Medicago truncatula: one gene and its partner. The protein of the gene in region 1 binds, or shares a complex with, the protein of each later gene. Links are inferred from orthologs where the notes say so. Each region holds a gene or a part of one and is shown on either strand. Other genes may lie near its edges.

Region 1 (11,285 bases):
GCAGCTTCTAGTGATACATAGCTTCTGATGAACTAGGCTTCTGATGACATCATCACTTCAGAAGCACTTTGTCTTCAGGAGCACTTCAAACTCCAGGAGCAGGTTTCTTCAGACGCTTTAAGCTTCTCTTTTTGTTGATATTGTTACTCTTTATTTGTTCTTTCACGATCAATTTTAGATGTCAAATTTTGTCTATAGTCATGTACACTTGAACAAATATTAGCGTATCCAATTGACAATTTTTAATACTTTGTTATCTTCAAAACTCTTAAAGGGTTATTATTGCTAAACATATTTTGTTCCAACAGTCTTTCGTCGACAACACAGAACTACAAAGTACGAATGCAATGCTCTAAGGCACATGCTATGTTAGCATCTTTTAATATTTTTTTTTATTTGTACAATGTAAGAAAAGCAATTCAAGGATAAGTTCTAATAAAAAAAAAAAAACCGTTGTTAAATTGGATCCCTATGCATTGTTTCCAAAACAAAGAAGAATTAAAAAAGGAGTAAAATTTTCTATCTTTCGATAGAGAAACTGAGGGACTTCAGAGCAATACGGGGGCCTAAAGAACAATTATCTATATTTGGATAATTCCAACTTTTGATAGGCCCATATTTTGGGCTGACAGGCTCAGCTGCTACCAAAAGCTCACAAGCCCAACATCTACTTTCACAAAACCCTAATCCATAGATAAATTTCTTTTCTCCCATATAAACGAAAACCATCGACGCTTTGTTCTCTCTGAAGAGGAAGAAGGTGCACGCCGGCGGATTGAAGTAGGAACCCAACACCACCTTCAGCAATGGTACGTTAACTCCATAAACATTGATCTGTAATAATTTCACTACAAACACTTTATGGCTTTCAATTTCAATTTGTTAAGTCATTGAGCATACAAATAGATTTTCCTTTGAAATTGAAATATTTTTCTGTAAGATCTCATAGTTTGTGAAATGATTGGTTATGTGATTGTAGTCGTCGAAGAGAAAGGTTAGAGAGCCAAAGGAAGAAACAGTGACTCTTGGTCCAGCTGTTAAAGATGGAGAACAAGTTTTTGGTGTTGCTCGTATCTTTGCTTCGTTTAACGATACCTTCATCGTGAGTCTATTTTCCTTCTTTTTATCATTCATTCCAAATTTTGTGTTTTTTTTATTTTATTTGTTGGTGTAATTCATTGAATTGATTTATTTCAGCATGTGACTGATTTGTCTGGTAGAGAAACACTTGTCCGTATTACTGGTAAGTGTGTGTTTTTATTTCATTTCATTTCATTTAACATTAAATTTGCTCAATTGTTTGAAGTTATATTGAAATTTTTCTCTGTAATTTTAGTTGATTTGTGTGAAAATAAGTTTTTATCTCATGTATATTTGATTTACAAGATTTTTATGTTTGATATGTGCTTTGTGGAACTACGTTTTTATGGAACTGTTTGATTTTCAACTGATTATAAACTTGAGCAATGCCCAAAGTGAAGATTTGGGACCTGTTTGGTTAGTTCCAAATCCAATTATAGTGTGTGGCTGTGTGCACTTGTCATGATTAGGTATAAGTCGCATTTGGATTGACTTGTTTTTTAGCTTAAGAAAAATAGCTTATGCAAAAAAATAACCTTATGACAAGCTTATGAATAATACATAGAGGCTTATTTATTCCCATAAACTGTTTTGCATAATGTCAAAAAATAAGCTAATCCAAACAGGTCCATAAGCTATTTCTATAACAATAGATAAAATAAACTCAAGTGTTTTCATATAAGCTATAATACGTCTTCACAAGCTATTTTGGAAAATTTATAAAAATAAGCTGAAAACAGCTTATGAATGTCATAAGCTGTTTTCCCAAGTTTTCTAAGTCAAGTGTTTATGCTAGTAGATAAGCGTAAATAATCAATTCCAAACAGACCGTTCTTGCCATTTACAATTTTGCTCTACCGTTTACCAATGACCCTGATAATATAAATGGAGCAATTCTTCTATTGGCACAACACCAAATATAAATCATTTGGGCACACTCATATGAGAGTCACTTCAAATGAAAAATTTAAAAGAGAATAAAATTAAATGATGTTGATTGATGTGATTTAATTAATTTTGTTTTTATTTTTTTCATTTATGTTTGGGTGTGCCCAAATATTTTTCATTTGGGGTTGTGACCATAGTAGAATTGCTCATTTAAATGTATAAATCTTCGTTGTCATTAACCAGTTTGATGCATGTCTAAGTCTGTTTGTCTTATCTAATTTGTTATGTTTCAGGTGGAATGAAGGTCAAAGCTGACCGAGATGAGTCATCTCCATATGCTGCCATGCTTGCTGCACAAGATGTTGCCACCAGATGCAAGGTAATTGCATATATTTGTATCTTTTTATTCACTTGTGTTTTTTCTTGACAAGCGATTGCGTTGCTCTTTTTAATTTGATTGAATTCTTGTAATCTGATTGCTCCGCCTGTCGTATCAAATATTAATTGTTATTTCATTGGCATTTTCCATTAGCTGTCATAATTTGCTGATTCTGTGTTCTTGAACAGGAGTTAGGCATAACTGCTCTTCACATCAAACTACGTGCTACTGGAGGAAACAAGACCAAAACACCAGGCCCTGGTGCTCAGGCTGCTCTCCGTGCCTTGGCTCGGTCAGGAATGAAAATCGGTCGCATAGGTATTCCTTTAGTCCATTTTTAGGATGCATGTCTTGGTAAATTTGTTCCCTGCTGCTCTAAGCTGGTGATGTGGTCTATAGTTTTTTATGTGCTTTTGTTTTATGCGTTGTGTTTGTGAATCTTGTTTATGAAGTAATAGTTCTCCCTCCTAGTTACTCTTATTTTGTATTCTCAGCATTTGACGATGAGTTTCTAAGTTTTGATATCCAGCTTAATATCTAATTAGCTTGCCTTTTGTTTTTAAATTTGCAGAGGATGTGACCCCAATTCCTTCTGACAGCACCCGCCGAAAGAGTGGTAGAAGGGGTAGAAGGCTCTGAGTTTGCTATGGTATTATGGAAGGAGCTGCTTATGTTTTTATTTTGGTCACCGTGTTTTTGTTTCTTTCCAGACTGTATTGTGGCATATTCAAAAGTTCTACATGAGTTTATTTAGATACAAGTTAAGAGTCAAATGAAAGTTTTTCATGTTTCTTCTATGATTTACACTTTTGCGGATTTGATAAATTGCTTCATCTAATTTTTGTTTTGTTCTCTCATGTTTACTTTATACCGTATGAGAATTAGTACTTAATGGCATTGGTATAATTACCATTGAAATATCAATGGCTGTGAAATTCCTAGTTACTAGTATAGTGACCCGTGTCAGCACGGGGAAATAAAAATCTTTTTTGATCAAATGTATAGATTTTAAATTCGATATGAAATATCTAAACATTGCATATAACGATAAAAATATCTGGATTATTATACTTGTACTAATTATTTGTAGTATAAGATTCACTCATTGTTAAACTTAGCATATGTAGTCGGTAAATGCAAACGTTTAATTTTTTTACAAAGGTTTCACGATACACAACATCTGTGGTCTCCTTACAAACATTATTATCGTCATCCAGGATGAGCAGCTTTAGACCTTTTCTTGAAGTTACCCGAGAGACAGCGACATAAAGTTGTCCATGCGTGAACACAGGCTTATGAAGCTAAAACTCCATTCAAGATAAAGATTGACCTTGGCTTTTATTTATTGTCATTGCAAAACAAAGCGTCAAAGGAAATTGCCTGCGCCTGAATTTGAAGGGTAGTCCTGGATCATTCAGAATAAAATTCATCCTGGGAATGAATACCCTAGTACCTGCCCTTTTTCCTGTAATTACGGTAGCAACTATCGTGCTCTTCCCTAGATGTGTAACTTTCAGCCTAGTACCATTACACAGTCCATTGACCTGATCGATGTTTCTCATCAGCATAACTGGACATCCCACCTTTAGTTTCAACCTGTGATTTGGAATTCCAGAGCTCTTAATACCATTAAGAAATTTTGGTGTGAACCACTCGCTTTGGACATCAGAATTTTCACCCGATCTAAAAATAGAATCAGAGCTTAAATACTCTTTCTCTTCACCTGGAATCAGCGACATCATAAATTCGTTAACATGCTCAATTGAATCAAGCGTTGGTGCGAGTATTCCCCTTTCTTGGAAAAATAGTTGGTCACCAAGGTTATCATTTAGATCGGGATACACAAAGTCTATAAGTGACATCAACGGATTTGTTGTGTCTGATATCAGCAAATCTTCAGGAATTTCTACCTTCATTTCACCATTGTCACCCAAAGCATCGTTGCCGTCTCCAATTGAGAGTATCCACTTGCAAAAATTAGCAATTTCTTCCTGCTCTGCAGGTACCGAAGATGCACCCAATCTCATATTAACAGTAAGCCTCAACACATTACAATAAGCCCATATCTTTGACGAATTGACCGAGGCATTAACAATATCCGGTCTCGTTCCTCCTCAGACAACAGTTAATATCTGCCTAAAATCACCACCTAAAACTACAGTCAATATCTGTCATTCCACCAAGCGTTGGTGCGAGTATCCGGCCTCATTCCTACTTATGTTGATTGTAATTTGTAAACTTTGTTATGGATGTTTTCAATGGTTTTTTGTAGTTGCGCTAATAAAATCAATTTACCTTAGTTTAGTTATGCGATGTTAGTTGACCTATTTTAAAATTTGACATATTTGGTCTAAAATATGGCCATATGATATTTGAAGTTTTGAAGGGAATATCGAGGTTGAGTTTTTTTGTCATGAAATCACATTCTACATTATTTAAAACATTACAGATTTAATAAAAATGACAATGACAAAGGGACCAATTTTTAAAATAGAGGGTATGTGAAATGGTGAAAATACTGAACCAAACTTGCAATTGAACAGACAAAATTGTATAAGGTACCTTTTAAACACTAGAAAAAATACAATGTTTTTTTTATGTATGCAAATAAATTATCATTCAACAATTTATCTCTCCTACTATTGTGGATTTACAAATAAGTGTTATGTAGGAAGACATAAGTGTTATTTAGGAAGACATAAGTGTTATTTTTTTATTTCCAATAAATCTAAACCATTGAATTTTTTTAAAATTCTAATGGTAAAATATAAGTGGTACACCGGTGAGGGACTTAATTGCTCCTTCACCCTAGAATCCATCTCAATATATATGTGAAAGCAACAAATAATAACGGAATAAGCATATGTTAACCATAGTTTTAAAACTCGGCTCAACCATCGACTTGACAAAGGTATTGGGTCACTGGGTTAATGGTCGAACCATTGAGTCACTGGTTGAACCGCATGACTTAACCAGATTAAATCGGATGACTCGATCGAATAACTTGGTCTCTATATTAAACTTGTTTATGTAATATTAAATTAGGTTGAACAAGATGAATCAATCTCTAAAAATTTCAATTTTTTAAATTAGTTAAAAACTCCTAATTTTCTATATTCTTATTTTCTTTCTCCTTTTAAAATTTTCAAAATTAGGCTGTATATAAATGTTAATCGGAAGGAATGATGTCACACGTTTAAAAATATAAATACTTGCAACCAAAAAAATATGCATTCAAAAAACAAAAAAAGACAAACAAAAAGCTAAAATAAAAAAAAGAATATAAAAGTTGACCCGAGTCTAAGAGAAAAAAGGCCCAAGCCCATTGATCTCTCTCAAGGCATAACCCTAATTATAAAACCAACATTTTTTTTTTTGAAAAATGATATTTGAACAACCATTTTTTGACAATTTTTGTGACAACTTTCTCTCTCATACTCACATGATTATTCTACTTTCTCTCTCTATTGCTTTGATTTTTGTGCCACTATTTAAATTTCTTTGTAAAATTTGGTTGTCCAACAAGTTGTCACAATAAATGGTTATACAAATAACATTGCTCTTTTTTTTTACAAACAACACGTCTCTTAGTTATTTGCAGCCGCCGTTACATTTTGATTTTCCCCTTGTGCGATTCAAACACAGCGCAGCTTCTTTCTTGATGCTTCTTCTTCAATTGTTTTGTTTTCTATTTCATGTATTTCTTCTCTATACCTCTTTCTCCCTTCCTTTTCAGAAATTAATTTGAGCGACATCAATTTTTTGTTGTGCGATCTGCGATGGTGTTTGACCCGGTCCGAGTTGTAGAAACCGTCGGTTCATCGGTTTATTGAAAAAACCGGACGAGTCGTCCGATTCACACTGGGTCAAATGCATGACTGATCTAACTACTTACTTGAATCGGTTCTACCACCGGTTCACGGTTCGACTGGCCGGTGCTGGGTTTTAAAACAATGATGTTAACATATCTATCCGATTTTATATACAAACAAATAATATTTTTTGAAATCGAATAACTTATTGGGTGTGTTTGGTTTGCAAAACAACTAGTATTGGACAGAACAGTATAAGATAGAACAGTACTACAACACAACACAAAACATATTTTGGTATTTTATACAACTTGTGCGTGGGACAAAAAATTATGCTGTGGTTTGGTGAGGGACAAATATGAGTTGTTCTGTTCTGTCATGTCCTTCATTCTTTTAGCAAATCAAACGCACCCATTTAATTTATCTATAATAGAGTCTTATAGCAAATATAGTCTAAATATATCAATTATTCTGTAAATAAAAAATCGATTCTATAGATATATGAAAAACAAAAAAAATCCCCAAACAAGTCTAAAATAAAAACCGTGATTCCTCTCTCACTTCTTCCCCCGCAGTTCTTAGCTTCATCAACGAACAAGGTTCGTGTCTACTCTCTAGTTTCCCTATTTTCCTCTCCCCTATCTTTTCGAATTGAAGTGCGAAAACAGCGACTAGCCTTTTCTCCATCACTTCAAGAGAGTAACGAGGGTTAACACTCTAATTAACCACATATTCAGTTAATATTAGTTATTGCATAAGCAAATATTACAATCGAAGAGCAAATTAGGCTAAACTCTGTTTATTACTTCACAAAATTACCCGAACAATGAACTGTTACTAGGGCACACTTTCTCTCTAATTTCATATCCATTGAATTTCATCGACAACTTGTGATTTTTTTTTATTCGTTTAACTTACTATGTTATTTTCATTAGCGTTGGGAATTTGGGTACATTCATATATATCTTTTCATCTTTCTTTCATTGTTTGAAATGAAGTTAGTTGGATTTTTATTCGATTTAGGGTTTATATGGTTTTGACTGTTTTTTTTTTTTTTTTTTATGGTATTCTTTGAATCTACTCTTATTATTTGTTTTGTGGCCACAAGTAACTGTTCAGGTTCGGTGAGAAGGGAGAGAAAAGAAAATGTTTTTCCACATAGTGCTGGAGCGAAACATGCAACTGCATCCACGCTACTTTGGGCGTAACCTTCGTGATAATCTTGTTTCCAAGCTAATGAAAGATGTCGAAGGCACTTGCAGGTGATTCACCTTAAGATCATTTCACTCTTTTTTACAAAACCATAGTTCTAGTAATTAAACTTAGGACAAAAGATGCCATCACTTGAGATTTTTTCACTAACAGACTACTACTTGAAGAATATGTACTATGTTGTCTTTGATTTCTTTTCAATTTTGTTTTTGTTTATCATTTGAAGAAGACAAATTAAATAGAACTGCACTTTGAGCATTACTTGATGATGGAAACAATTTCAATTGAAATAAAGGGCCAGTAGAACAGTAACAGACCTCTTTAACCCCAAACTAACAATATCTGTGATAAGCCTTTTTGTGTCTTGGACTAATTTTGTTTGGAAATAAACCTGTAATAATTTGGATCAAACTGTTTCTGTTTTGGACTTTGTGGTGATGCAATTTTTGGGCTTTCAACTATTACGCAGTGGACGACATGGATTTGTGGTGGCGGTGACGGGAATTGAGAACATTGGCAAAGGAATAATTCGGGATGGGACCGGATTTGTGACATTTCCGGTTAAGTACCAATGTGTTGTCTTTAGACCATTTAAGGGAGAGATCTTAGAAGCTGTTGTTACCATGGTGAACAAGGTTTATGCAATTCCTTTCCCCTGTCTCTACATTTTACTCATTAGCTTTATCTAGGTGTCTGACTCTGCTGTGTTGATAAAGTGGTTTATATTATTGAGTTCTGTTTGTACAGATGGGTTTTTTTGCTGAAGCTGGACCAGTTCAAATCTTCGTTTCCAACCATGTAAGTTCTTTTATAACCTTTGACAAAAGGCCTCTATCATCATCTTCACCTTACACACTTGTACCTAAGATACTGTTATTATTGTTCTTCATTTTAAGCCCTAAAATCATGATTCTCATTTATTGAACTTGAGATTAGAGTAGTAAAAGACATAACCTGTCTTAAGTTATTCTTTCATATTGAAAAATTAAATGCACATTCCAAAAAAAAGAATTACGGAATGCTGTCCAAACTTGTTGAACTCAAGTTGCATAAGCACTTATGTTCTTCTGATTTCTGAATAATGGAAAAGAAATCGACTTCTTGTTTTGTCATTTGTCATATTGACTATATAGTATTTACACTAGAGATCATTATCTCCAATGCAATTCCTCTTTTAGATGTCTGTATGAAAATGGTTTTCATTGATTTCTTGCTAGGTTTGAAAAAAGGATAATTTGCAAGCTTTGAACTGTGACCCGAGTTTAGTCTCCCCCGTAGCTATTCTGTTTTGCCTTTGCTACTATTTCCTCATGTATTTTTGTCTTGATCAGACCCTTTTTTCTCCTTTCAGTTGATTCCAGATGATATGGAATTCCAGACTGGAGACATGCCAAACTACACTACTTCAGATGGATCGGTACATATCATTTATAATAATTTCTCATTGAAGAGGAAGAGAGCAATTTTTTTTTTTAGGTGTTCAATTTAATGTGTTTTCTTCTGTTTTTGGCTTTGATCGTTTGTTTTTTTGCAGGTTAAGATTCAGAAAGACAGTGAAGTGAGGCTAAAGATAATTGGGACTCGAGTGGATGCTACTGAAATTGTAAGCCTGTATATATTGCAGCTTTTAGTTTGCTTTTATTTATGTTGTTAAGCTCCATCAGTTTTATGTGAAATTATACTTTTAAGAAATTCAAATTAATAGGATATGAAAGCACTGTGGTCTGTGCCAGATATAGCTTTCATTTCTTGCAGGTCTGCTTACTAGTACAAATTGCTAGAGAACGGCCTTAGTTTATGATAGTTTGATTTTTAAGTTCATGGTAGGACCCTTGGGCCTTATGACACAGGTGATCCAATTATAAAAGCAAATATGAATAGACCCACTACATGGTAGGTATACACGAGCAGGGGAAGACTGGGGTCAGTGGGGAATAGTGGAAGTTAGTTATGAGGGGTCCCTAGATTTTATTTGAAGGAGGGAGAGTCTAGGTGTGAGGGTATTCCGGATTATGCTATTGAGCTGGGTAGGAGATAATATCTCTCTGGTTAGGAGTCACTGACTCTGGATGTACTTTTATTTTCATTGTAGAGCTAGATCTCATTTCCTTTTATGAAATAATGCACTGTCGCATTGCTCATAACTGTCGGTTTCTATCAGTTTATATGATTCACAGGCTTAGCAGTAGTGATCTGTACATACCATAAAAGTGGCGATAAATTTATGCTAGTGTTTTACCACTTGGTTAATCTTTTATCACCACCATTCCAACAACCATGTCAACAGTGATCAACATGGAATGTGAAAGTGACTACCAAGTATAGGTTAATCTTTTATCACTTTTGTGGTTTGCAAGAATCATTCTTCATGACTGCTCCATGCTGCAATTTTACTTTACTACGGTAGTAAGATGCAGAACATGGTAGAACTAGTTGATGTTACTTGTCTGATTATTGTTCCTATTTCCTTGCATGATTATCCTGTAAGATGTCTTAATTAACTCGTGATAGTGATGGCCTCGCAGCCTAGTTACCGTTTTAGCATTAGATAATGTTTTTTTTCCAATATTTCTTAATGAGAATCAAGTATACTCTTGCACATGCTAAGCCTATTTTTTCATTCCCCTCACTCTCCCTTAGGGCTATAACACGAATACAATGAACACTGACCAGTGCAACTCTTCAGTTTCTCATAGCTATTAAATTATTTTTCCTTTGATCTTTTGTATATAACTATTTATCATGTTTTATGGTTTCACTATCTTCAAGAACTCATTTATTTAATGTTACATATTATCCACTTTTGCAGTTCTGCATAGGTACCATTAAAGACGATTTCTTGGGTGTGATCAACGACCCTGCAACAGTTTAAATTCACCTTTATGTACCCTTCTATCGTATAGTTTTAGTGGCATACACCTGATACTCATCATGTTGGTGTAACTCTGTTGCATAAATTACCAGAGTTACTTAGTTGATGTATCAAATTCTCTTATTGATTACAATTTGTGTATGAATATTTTCTATCTGTCAATGTCAATTACCTTTGTGCTGTACCCATAATTAATGGCAATATTTTCAGTCCTTCCTTTTACTAAAAAACACTGCATTATTTGTTTACTATTTGGGTCAAGAATTAATTTTTGGGAAGCAACGCAAAGTAAGATGTCCGGGTACTTTTTTTTGTTGGAACAAACAGGTACTATTTTAATACGAAATGAATCCCTTCCTGCCTTAATTTATCCGGCAGTTTCTCTTGTCGTTGGATTAATCCAACGGTTTAGTGGTAAACAGAGAAAGTGTGTGTGGTTCATTTTCGACTTTCATGGGTTTTCTTCACTTTCGACTTTCATGGGTTTTCTTCACCTGCTGTTGTTGTTCTCGAGTTTTTTACAATACAAGAATGGTGATTTCAGTCACCCAAAATACAAATAAATTGAATCAATGTCACCCAAAATACAAATAAGTTGAATCAATCTTCACCACACAACCTAGAAACAACATCTGCCCCATATGTTATATTTGACAAAAACAGTAAAGGAAAAGAACAGTATAGGAGACACAAGCTGTACATAGATCCTATTTCAGTGGCTTTTTACACAAAATCGGTGAATTGATTTTTCGGGTGTTATGCGGTTTCTACTCAAACCCAGTTGTTAGCTCCTCCATGGTAGGTGGGATTGTGATTCTGTTTCCTAGTGGTGAGTTTGACATTGTTAAAAAAAAAAAAAAAGATTCCAATTTCTAACAGGCAAAAGAGATGATGCAATGAAGAAATCCCACAACAGCAATGCGAGGGATGAAGAAATCTCACAATTCTCACAAAAAATTAGCCCACCCGTTATCTTTCCAGTGACATTGCCGTTTTTATCTTACCTTTTGACTCTCAGCCGTTGGATCAATGCAGTAGAGAT
Region 2 (10,737 bases), on another chromosome or scaffold:
ATCTGACAATCAGAAAAAACATACTTCAAGTTCTGCAATTCCCATGATCGTTGGGACGATGAACGTTCCCACTCCTTGTATTTTGCCTTTGCAAACTCTTGCCATATTTCTTCAACCATATAGCCCTTTGGATTGGCACCTCTCCCAAGATCCAAAGCCTTAATCATGACCAAAAACAAAAGAATCATTATTCATTTGAAAAATGAGGGTAAGGCATTGTTATTATCTTATAAAAATGCACCACACTGAAAATCAGCAGGAATGTTGTATTCAATCAGACGTGACATTAAAATTTAAATAATGGAAGAGCCATGTCCTGTTGACAGCTCAATAGCAAGCCAAAATTCTCAAACAAACTTTTTTACTTCGCAGCAAAATTTTAAATGAAGTGAAAAAATATAAAATTGAGAAATAAAAATGAAAAAGAAAGCAAATGCACAGTGAACAGAACCCAAGCAATCAATTAAGAATTAACTAAAAACGAGTTCCAAATCATTCCTCACGTAATATACATGGATGCATCCTTAGCTTTTGTTCATCAAATATCAACATAACAAGACTGAATTAGAGAGATAAAGAGATGGAAAAGCGTCCACACACCCTAAGGCAAAGCTTTTGGCTTAAAATTGGTTTGAAATTTCATTTCGTGTAGAAGAATAAAGGGGATTAGGGGTGTGTATGAATTATTGGGCTAGGGCTTGTACTGGTAATAATACACTAGTACTTCACCTATTTAGAATTACAAAATAGGACTTACTCAGTTGGTATTATGTATAACATCTCCATTCACCACACCATATCAATCCAATATTACTGGGATGTCCCTTTCTATCTTTTCTTCATTCCCTACCAATATCCTATAATTTTGCTAATATTGTAGAATTAATTTAGATGTAGCAAATGATGCAACAGGTAAATTAGTCATTTGTTTTGCTGTTTCTACCTATAAATAGTATTTCATTACTTGAGTCATGACTTGCGGTGCACATTATGAACCTTACAATGTACATATATATTCTTCACAATTTAATTTATGATGGTGTCTTAACTTGTCACTTGTCTCCGTCAAACCCAATGACAGTTTTAATATATCATGTATGACTGTCCTAGATCAGAAACAGTGTAAATTGCAGAATAATAAACCACATCCAATCCCAGGGGAAGGAAGCATAAAATGTGGGAACATGATTATGTATGTTATATTTTAATATTGTCTTTCTAGTTGTCCTGCAACATTTATCAATTGCACAAAGTTGTAAAATACTGAAGGTCACAAACAGAAAAGGGAAATAGTTTTTTTAACCAGTTAACACTTAAAACAAGTAAAGACGTAATCAAACTAAGAAGCACTAAATAATTTATTGCAACAGATATAACAAAATTAATTGATGTCCATGAAACACACAACAAGGGTGTTTGATGACAAATTGACGACAAACCTTTTGCAATTCTCGGATTCCTTTCGTATGTTCTTGTTTCTGTAGCAATGCAAGACCCAACATATAGTGTGCCTGAAATATGTGCAAAAGAAGATTCAGCTGGAAACAAGATAATCAAAACAAAGCACAAAGATGCAAACATTTACAAAATAATCAAATATAAGATGTAATGAGAAAAATATTCACACAGCCAGTGGTTTCACCAAACTCAGGAAGTCACTTCAACAAACAATTGATATATCAATCTATTAAAGTTCATATTTTGATATTGAAACACCTTCCAAAACTAACACAAAACAAGGCATACATATCTTGGTAGTTAATGTACTAGATCCCCCAAAGTTGTGTTTGGTTTAGACACAAAACTTAGCATCAATGAGTCAATAATATTAATATAATAACAAAGTTAAAAAAGATAATAATATTAAGTCGAGGTTTCCACGGAGATTGTTTGGACACCTGTACATCATCTGAGAGGTTTATAGCAAACATATGCATCTTACATAGCTCATCAAAATCATAAAACAATCTAAAATTTAGAAAACCCCCTTTAACGCAGCCCAGGAACCAACTAAATTTTAAGTAAAGAAAACATGGAAATAGGTTGAGTAGTTATTTGATAATTGAGTTGCAAGGATTTGTGTAACACGAATCCAACTCCTCAGAGATATGCAATGATCAGAGTTCTTAAAATTGTGGCCAAGAGAACTACTTAACGTTTCAAGAATCTATTAACATCGAGGAATTTGTATCCCCACGCATAAATAAATTTAAGAAAATGCAGAACATCACGAAAAGTTATGATAGGCTATTTAGCATCAATACCCAATCTGTTTTACGCCTAATCAGAATGTAAAGTCACGTGGATTGTTTTAAACCCAAAATGTGCATCGCGCGTGCATTTTCACGAATAAAGGGTCCGTGATATATAGCATTGCTCATACAACTAAATGTGCAAACAAATTCATTCAAAAGCAAAAGCAATATTCGTAACAGATGAATGAAGCCATTAAATCAACCACGAGCGAGACAAAAGGAGTAATTACAAAATAACAAACAGATCAATCATTATAACCTTAACAGAATGACTGTCCAGCTGAATTGCTCTTCTAGAATCTTCCTCAACCCTCTCCCATTCACTACAAATAAACCAAACACATTGTGGACACAATTGTAATCAATAAAACCTCCAAAATATCAATATTCCAACCACAATTTCAATTGCATACAGAAATCAAAACCCTAAAAATCCCACAACCCAAATTTCAAATCAAAATTAAAAACCCTAAACAATCAAAAACACCCAAAAAATCATAATCATAAAATTGATAAAAATACATACTTTCGTTTGAGATGACACAAAGCACGATTGGTGAAATAAACGGGAACATTAGGGCAAAGCGTAATTGCCTACAAAACAAAAAACCCATGTCAGAAACGAAACAAAGTTTTAATTTTTGCAATTGAAAAGAAAAGGGTTAGTAAAAACTGAAAATTTGGATGAAACCTCAGTGTAAGCATCGATGGCGGCATTAAAACGGTTTTTCTTGAAGTAATTGTTACCGTCGTTTCGCAAAAGTTCGGCTTGTCTCATCGCCGAAGCGTTTGGCCTCATTTCACTATATCTAATGTTTATATCTATAGGTGTAGATTATTATGTGAATGAATGAATTGATGTTTATAATGTGAATGAATTGAATGTGAATTGTAGAAATTTGGAGAAGAAGAAACGGAGAGTACCGATGAAGAAAGGTAACAACGAGTTTTTGGAAATATGATGTGAGTATTGAGTTGTACGCCTCGCAGTTTCTGTCATAAATCACGCTATGTATTAAATTAAATTAAATTTGTCAATATCCAGTCAAAATAAATTGTCATAAAATCTAAAAAATTTCTATCAACTAAATAAACAAACTGTGGAATATATTGTTTTTATATATCTTTCAAAAAAAAATATATCTGTTTTTTTGTATGTAATAATTTTTTTTACATATGTTGAAGGTTGTGTCTATTTTTTTTCTCTTTTTTTTTTTTGGTCTAATATCAATTACGTTTAAAAATAAAAAATAATTTGGATCTTCTCATGTTGTCCATCCTATTTTAATATCCGTCATTCAAAAACAATTTTATGTTTCTTCTTATTACTATTATTTTTTTTAAGAAACTTAATTTTTAGTAAAAAGTAAGTTTTATAATCATGAAAAGGGAGAACAAAAATATAATATAAATAGTAGAGTCTTCTTTTATATTAGATCGAGTTTATATTGTCCTCGTGAGCATAATTCAGTTGGTTCGAACCCCAGCCACCACAAAAAAAAAAAAAAAAGTTTATATTAGACAATTCCATATACGTAAATTTAACACAATTCATTTTTTTTTTAAAGAATAACACAATTCGTTTTTATAAGATCTATCTCAATTAATATTATCGCATTAATCCGGCCATTTTAATTTAAATTCGAACTTGAAATTTGGTGTGTAAGTTTAAATAGTGTTTTTCACTTCCTTCTTCTAGATGCTGAAAAAATATAACAAATTTTGGTTTCAAAAAATTTATACTAAATAATTTAGTGGTTATAGTTTCATCCATAAAGTGAATAAGTGAATAATTCATGATTCGAATATCAGTCTCTACATATTGCATCGTATTGTTCCTATCAATTAAATGTAGAGGCCGAGATATGAAGGAATCAAACCAATCGTGAAGGAGAGAAGAAAAAAAAAGAGCAGGCTCACCAAAGTTAAAATGCATTATGCACTTAATATTTTTCATTCTTAGGAGATCGAGACTATTAGTTATAGGATGCATATCATGAGTCAAGTCTTTTTTCTTCTTCTTTCTTCTAAGCTTAGATGCATTTTTGCGTCTTTAACTTTTAAAAATTGCAATTTTGACCCCTAAAAAGTAATAGCAATTTTTTACCTTAACTTTACAAAAAAATTGTAAGACAATCGAGAAGACGTCACATGTCAAAATATGGGACCAAAATTGCTATTTTTAAAAAACAATAGGTCAAAAGTACATATTTTTTAGGATAGAGGGCAAAAATTGATTTTTTTTTTGTTTGCGTTGTGCAATGTTTTATAAAGTTAATGGATCAAAATTGTAATTTTTTTGTTGGAGGGTCAAAATTACAACTTTTTAAAAATTAAGAGGAAAAAAAATACATTTAAACTTTTTTTTATTTCAATTATCAATGGTTTTGAAATATAATTGCAACAATATGATGATATTCGATAACTCCAATTATTTAATAATATACATTTAAAACTCTTCAAAGCTATAACTATGAAAAGAGAAAAAAAATATAGGGTGCGTTTGATTTGCTAAAAAATAAAGGATAAGACAGAACAACTCTAGTTGTCCAGTGTTTGATTTATAAAACTGTTTCAGGTACAGGACAAACTGGAGGCAAGCGACAGAACAAAAACTTATATTTTTGTCCCTCACCAAACCACATCACAACTTTTTATCCTACGTACAAGTTGTCTAAAATACCAAAATAACATTTTGTCCCTCAAAAATCGTATAAAACAAAAAATTACTCAATGCCATAAAAAATTTGTCCTATGCTGTTCTGCCTTGTGTTGTACTGTTCTATCTTATATTGTTCTGTCCGATACTTACTGTTTTGCAAACCAAACACACCCATAAAGAAAAAATAGCGAGAGGTTCTTACATGTATCCTTTACTTTTCTCTGTTTTTTTTTTAAGGAGATTCTGACCCATATTCGAACATTGTGTTTAATATAATTTTGTAAATAATCTTGATAATAATTTATTTGTTTCTATTTTTCTTAATTGGTTGTTAATTTTTATACTCAAAAGATCTTGTATTTAATTATGAATGAATTTTGAGGTCAAGATAGGATATTACCAAAACTTAGGGTCATGAAAGAATTTACAATAAATAAAATTTTATTGGATTAATAGGCCTTTACCCCTCTATAATATAGGGTACTTTCGGTTTTGCCCCCTGTAATTTTTTATTTAGATTCCGTCCTTATAAAATAAAGATTCTTCACGATTGCCCCCTAAGCCCATTGACTCAGTAGAATCTCTGATGTGACACTTTTTCTTTTCCATTTTTTTGTGCTTGTCACGCGTAAAAAATTGTTTACACGTCATTTATATTTAAAAAAACGAAAATCCTTTTTTAAATCGAAAAAAAAATTATTTTTTTTTCAAAAATTAAAAAAAATTTAGATTTTTTTTTTCCGAAATAGAAAATGTTCTTCTCTTTTTCAAAATTTAAAAAAAATTCAGATTATTTTCGAAATAAAAAAGTTTTTTAAATTTTTTTCTACAAAAAAAGAAAATTCTGAAAAATATTTTAATTTTTAAAAATCTGGATATAAATATTTTTAAATTCCAATTATATAATTTGAAAAAAATTTGATTTTATTTAAATTTTTAAAATCTTAACTTCAGATTTTTTTCGAAAATTTTAAATTTAGAAAAATTCAGATTTGTTTTTGAATTTTTTTATAAAATCATGAAATATTGTTCTAGAATTCAAATTTTATGAAATTTTGAATATAATTTTTTTTAATTGAAATCAAAATCTTAATTTCAGTTGTTTTTTCAAAAAAAATTAAATTTAGAAAAGATTTCAAATTTTTTCGAGAGTTTTATTCCTGAAATTTTATGAAATCTTTTTCGAAATTAAAAAAAATCAATTTTTTTTCGAAATTACAAATATTTAAAAAAAAATCTGAAACTTAATTCTCAAAATATTTTTTTTAGATAATATTATAATTTTCGAAGTTTTTTTAATTTATATTTGGATATTTTAGAATCTTTTTCGTAATTATTTTATAATTTTTTGAAAAATTCGAAATATATTAAATTTTAGATTTTCTTATAATTTTTTTCCTAATTAATTTGTTTATTTTATAATTTTTGAAAATTAATTTTGATATTTTTAAAATTTTTTATTTATTAATGACGTGTAATTTTTTTTTTACGCGTGACATTTAAAAAATAAATAAAAAAAGAAAAAGCCACGTAGTTGCCACGTCAATAAGATATTTTGATGACTCGAAGGGCTCGGGTGGCAAACCTAAAAAATCTTTAATTTACGAGGACGAATCTAAATTTTATTTTTCAAAGAAAAACTAAAAATGCCATATATATATTATTGAGGATAAAGACTTATTAATCCAATTTTATTTTATTTTAGTTTTTGAGAGAAATAAAGTGGTAGCTTTTATTTTTTATTTTTTTAAGGGAAAGTGGTAGCTTTATAAACGCTGCGTTTAACGTTGTCTAAAATCCAAAACGAGTGTTACTTTCTTCCCAGGTGAACGACACAAAGCCCTCAACTTCTCTCACCGTTTTGATTCTGGTTAGTTCGTTACACCGTTTCTTCTTCTTCTACTTCTTCTTCCCAATCACATCATTATCTTTTTGATTTGATTTGTACTAATTTCATTACTGATTCTGTGCTGACCTAATTGAATTCAGCAGAAGAAGGAGTGAATCATGTCTGGTGAAGAGGAAGAAAACGCCGCTGAACTCAAAATCGGAGACGGTAATTACTCATTCTCGGTTTTCTCCACTAATTTGCTTCTTTACTTGCGTTCTGTTTTGCTTGAATTACGTAGTGTTTCATTATTAGTAATTTTTTAAATCCCTAATTTGAAAATTTTACCTTCGTACATAGTAATTCTTCGTTCAGTGTTTCTTTGAGATCAGTACTTCATCTTCGTATGGTTTCAAAGATGTTTGAGCTATGATGTTTATATATCTTTTTTTTTTTTTTTTTTTTAAGGATGATGTTTATATATCTGAACATTTAACAAGTTAATGAATTATAATTATGTGTTTTATATATAAATTCGTATTTGAGTTAATGAACTAATGCTATTTTTTACCATAGTTGATACGCTAGCTTATGACGGATGAACTTATTTATAGAGGATAACCGATAAGCTAGCTCACAGCGGATAATCTAGTTGAATGAATTTGTACGAGCACTTGAGCAGAAAGCTGTTTTATAAGCTATCCTATAGAGTGTATAGAAATAAGCTGAAAACAGCTTATGAACATGTCATAAGCTGTTTTCTTAAGTTCTTCTCACAAGTGCTTATGCCAGTAGATAAGCTCAAGTAAACCAATCCAATTCCCTTATTCTTTTAGCATGTGCTACGTTGAATAATACCTAAACTCATATTCTGAAGTGATATACTATAATACTATCTATATTTTTAGGTGATTAGTTAGTATATGAGGGTAATAAGTAATGGGTGTTGCTTTGATTAGTTGCGGCGTATCACCATACTCCTTTCAGATAGCTATTTTATTACACCATTCAAAATCTGATTGGTTCATTGATAGACAACGATCTTATGTTTTGTCATGTTGGATTGATTGAACATGTTTCAAGTTTGGTATAATTGTTGTGACTTTTTGTTTTTTCGCTAAAGAAGTAGTTTTTTTTTTTTTCTTCCAGAGTTTTTGAAAGCAAAGTGCTTGATGAACTGTGAGGTTTCATTAATTCTGGAACACAAATATGAGCAGCTTCAGCAGTCGTCTGATGATGCCATGAATCAAGTTTCTCAGTGAGTTCTAATCCTGTATCAATGTTCATGTGTTATTCAGACGTAAAGTTCATGCATGCCATTTTTACGCCCCTAGCTAAATTACTTTTTATTCCGGGAATATGACATGCATTTGTTATGCTTAATGACTCCAAGATCTTTTATTTTGATACTATTGCTGGAAGAAGAGAGTTATGCTTTGATGTCTGCCGCTGTAATAATACCTAAATTAAATAACATGTCCTTGAACTTGCCAAACCCAATTTACATATTTTCAATGATGAATTTGACAACGATGTTGATATAGAAGCGGAGTAATGTTGTAGTTAGCACCTTAGAGTAATGTGTTTTTCCTTCTATTTTTTTCAGGGTATTTGAAAAGTCATTGCAGTATGTGAAGCGTTTCAGCCGCTACAAAAATCCTGATGCTGTTAGACAAGTTCGAGAGTATCCTCCAAAACTGAGCTGATGAACCCATTTTCTTTTTCTCATGATTCATATATTTACTTAAATGAAAATTGTGACGGTGTCCATCTCATTTCTTTCATAATAATGAATAATCTCGTTTTCTTTTATTTCTTGATTGACTTTTCTCTTGTCTTTCTGGATCCTGTGTTTCCTTTTAGGGTCCATTTGGTTGAGAGTGGTTGAAGGGGAGGGGATATTTTAAATCATTTATGTTTGGTTCAATTTTTAAGAGAGGGGGATGGGAGGGAATCAAAACCCCTCCTAGACCACTTTTTGCTTCCCCTCAAATTGGGGGGATTTGGAAGTGAGGTGACTAAAAACACTTCTAAACCATTTAAAATTCCTCCCCTCATTTTAAACCAAACATGCTTTTAATTAAAAACTCTCCCCTTTGTTGAACCAAATAGACCCCTACGTAATATCTCTTTCTATCATTTAATAAGAAATTTGAAATTGCAAAGCCCTGTATCAGATTGTGATCTTAACTGGCTTAAGAATTCTTGCGAGATATCAGTTGGCTGAATTTGAGGTAATATGACTATTCCTTTCACAAATTCGGTTTAGGAAGCAAGTTTTCACATTTTATTATGAGGATAAAGAAAAAGAGTTATAATTTCACACAATACAATTAACTGTTTCAATGAATTTATTGCAGCTGTGTGTCCTAGGCAATCTTTGCCCGGAAACTGTAGAGGAAGCTATTGCTATGGTTCCATCTATCAAGGTAGAAATAATTTGCCTCTCCTTCTTTCTGTAAACTTTTCCTGTTGGGCGGGGATGAGAAGGGTTTGTTTTTGGGAAGGAGTGGTGATGTTAGGTCAATTTTAAATGATTTGAATTCTCCCTTTCATGCTTGTTAAAATGAAGAAGGGGAGATAAATAAAGGCATGAATTGAATCAAATATGATGTTCTATAAATTTATCTCTTTGAATAAATTTCTATTAAAATTTTATCGAGTTGGTAGGAGTTGGTAGGACGGTAGTATTGTTTGATTGATGTGGTCAATACTATCTAGCAGGGAATAACTTATTTTTGGTGTAAAATTCTGTTTTGTTAATGAGCAAAATCAGAAATATCTACAAGTTTGGCAATTAAATTTACAAAAATTCCCAATATTGGAGAATTCATAAGTAAAAGCTGGAGGATTTTATTGGGTTACTATTTATCTCCGTAATGGCATCTCAGTTTTTATTAATATGTTTCATTTATTTTTCCCGCGAGCCTTCTGTTACATTGTTCTTTTACCATTTGCCCTCACCATAATATATTCCAGATTCATCATGGTTCAAAATGTTTTTTCTGACAGATAGAATTAATGAAAAAACTTCATTTTCTGGGTGTACGTGTGTTGTCCAATTTTAAACTTTACTTACCTCTATATGGTTGTAACCTTATAATAATTGATAGGGTGATTGACATTTGAAGTATTCTTGCACCCTTGTGGATCGTGGTTTTAAAATTATAGTACTGTTAAACATGGTCACACTAAATTTGTGTAACAACTAATACATCTTTTTTGTCATGTGTCATTTTTTAACATGCAGACAAGAGGACGGGCTCAGGATGATGAAGCAATTGAGAAGATGTTAAATGACTTATCACTGATTAAGAAATTTGAATAAGAGTTTCTTACAGTTCTTGTAAATCATGGTCAGTTCTGTGATGTACGGTAAGTGGTACTGTATAACATACCACTTGACAGCAAACAATGTGTTTTGTAGTTATTGCAGAACTCATGCTGGTAATATAGCTACCTTACTGTGACTTTTATTGAGGAGGATTTGAAAAAGATGGTATGTGGTGCATTGAGACTGTGTGTGGTAGGTTATGAACTTATGATGAAAGAACACTGATTATTGTCTTGCCTGTATTCTCCTATATGCAACAAAAGGGGAGCTATTATTTTTTTGCTTGTGACATGATTAGAGAACACATTACACACACCGGTTCCTATTTCCTACAAATGTGTGATAATTGTCTAGAAACTAAAGAGATACACTTAATGCAAATTACCGAACCCTATCTTCTAGGATATTAGATGCAGACACATGAGCTCACATTATTATTTAGATATGAAAATTTTCCTAAAATGAAAATGGATTGTGTTTTTTGATCCTTCTTCAAACTACAAACAACATTTTGTAGAAACTATACTTTGTGTGGCATTTCATTTCAATTTCATGTCGTATTTCATTATAGCAATTTCGCAAGAAGCAAGGATGCTCAGATATAACTGGATGGTATTATTCAATCTTTTTTGTAGAGGTCGTGTTAAAATAAGTAAAA

The links.
Region 2: DNA-directed RNA polymerase II subunit RPB7 (region 1) and DNA-directed RNA polymerase II subunit 4 share a complex: the UniProt entries of both Arabidopsis thaliana proteins name them as parts of the RNA polymerase II complex. The link is inferred for Medicago truncatula from reciprocal best matches to the Arabidopsis thaliana genes NRPB7 and NRPB4.

What each region holds. Positions count from the first base shown.
Region 1 is NC_053045.1:46,416,740-46,428,024, forward strand, and holds DNA-directed RNA polymerase II subunit RPB7, read left to right. Parts: upstream 1-6,632; 5' UTR 6,633-6,758; intron 6,759-7,267; 5' UTR 7,268-7,305; coding exon 7,306-7,421; intron 7,422-7,840; coding exon 7,841-8,006; intron 8,007-8,118; coding exon 8,119-8,169; intron 8,170-8,722; coding exon 8,723-8,788; intron 8,789-8,905; coding exon 8,906-8,974; intron 8,975-10,180; coding exon 10,181-10,243; 3' UTR 10,244-10,473; downstream 10,474-11,285. Other genes in the region: 40S ribosomal protein S14, read left to right, coding at 807-809, 980-1,102, 1,198-1,243, 2,262-2,347, 2,536-2,665, 2,919-2,986. UniProt on the Arabidopsis thaliana protein: DNA-dependent RNA polymerase catalyzes the transcription of DNA into RNA using the four ribonucleoside triphosphates as substrates. Component of RNA polymerase II which synthesizes mRNA precursors and many functional non-coding RNAs.
Region 2 is NC_053049.1:3,121,601-3,132,337, forward strand, and holds DNA-directed RNA polymerase II subunit 4, read left to right. Parts: upstream 1-6,675; 5' UTR 6,676-6,787; intron 6,788-6,906; exon of another isoform or gene 6,907-6,909; 5' UTR 6,910-6,924; coding exon 6,925-6,973; intron 6,974-7,894; coding exon 7,895-8,003; intron 8,004-8,351; coding exon 8,352-8,429; intron 8,430-8,945; coding exon 8,946-8,979; intron 8,980-9,105; coding exon 9,106-9,174; intron 9,175-9,995; coding exon 9,996-10,073; 3' UTR 10,074-10,394; downstream 10,395-10,737. Other genes in the region: E3 ubiquitin-protein ligase CHIP, read right to left, coding at 25-158, 1,440-1,511, 2,515-2,578, 2,782-2,849, 2,947-3,054. UniProt on the Arabidopsis thaliana protein: DNA-dependent RNA polymerase catalyzes the transcription of DNA into RNA using the four ribonucleoside triphosphates as substrates. Second largest component of RNA polymerase II which synthesizes mRNA precursors and many functional non-coding RNAs.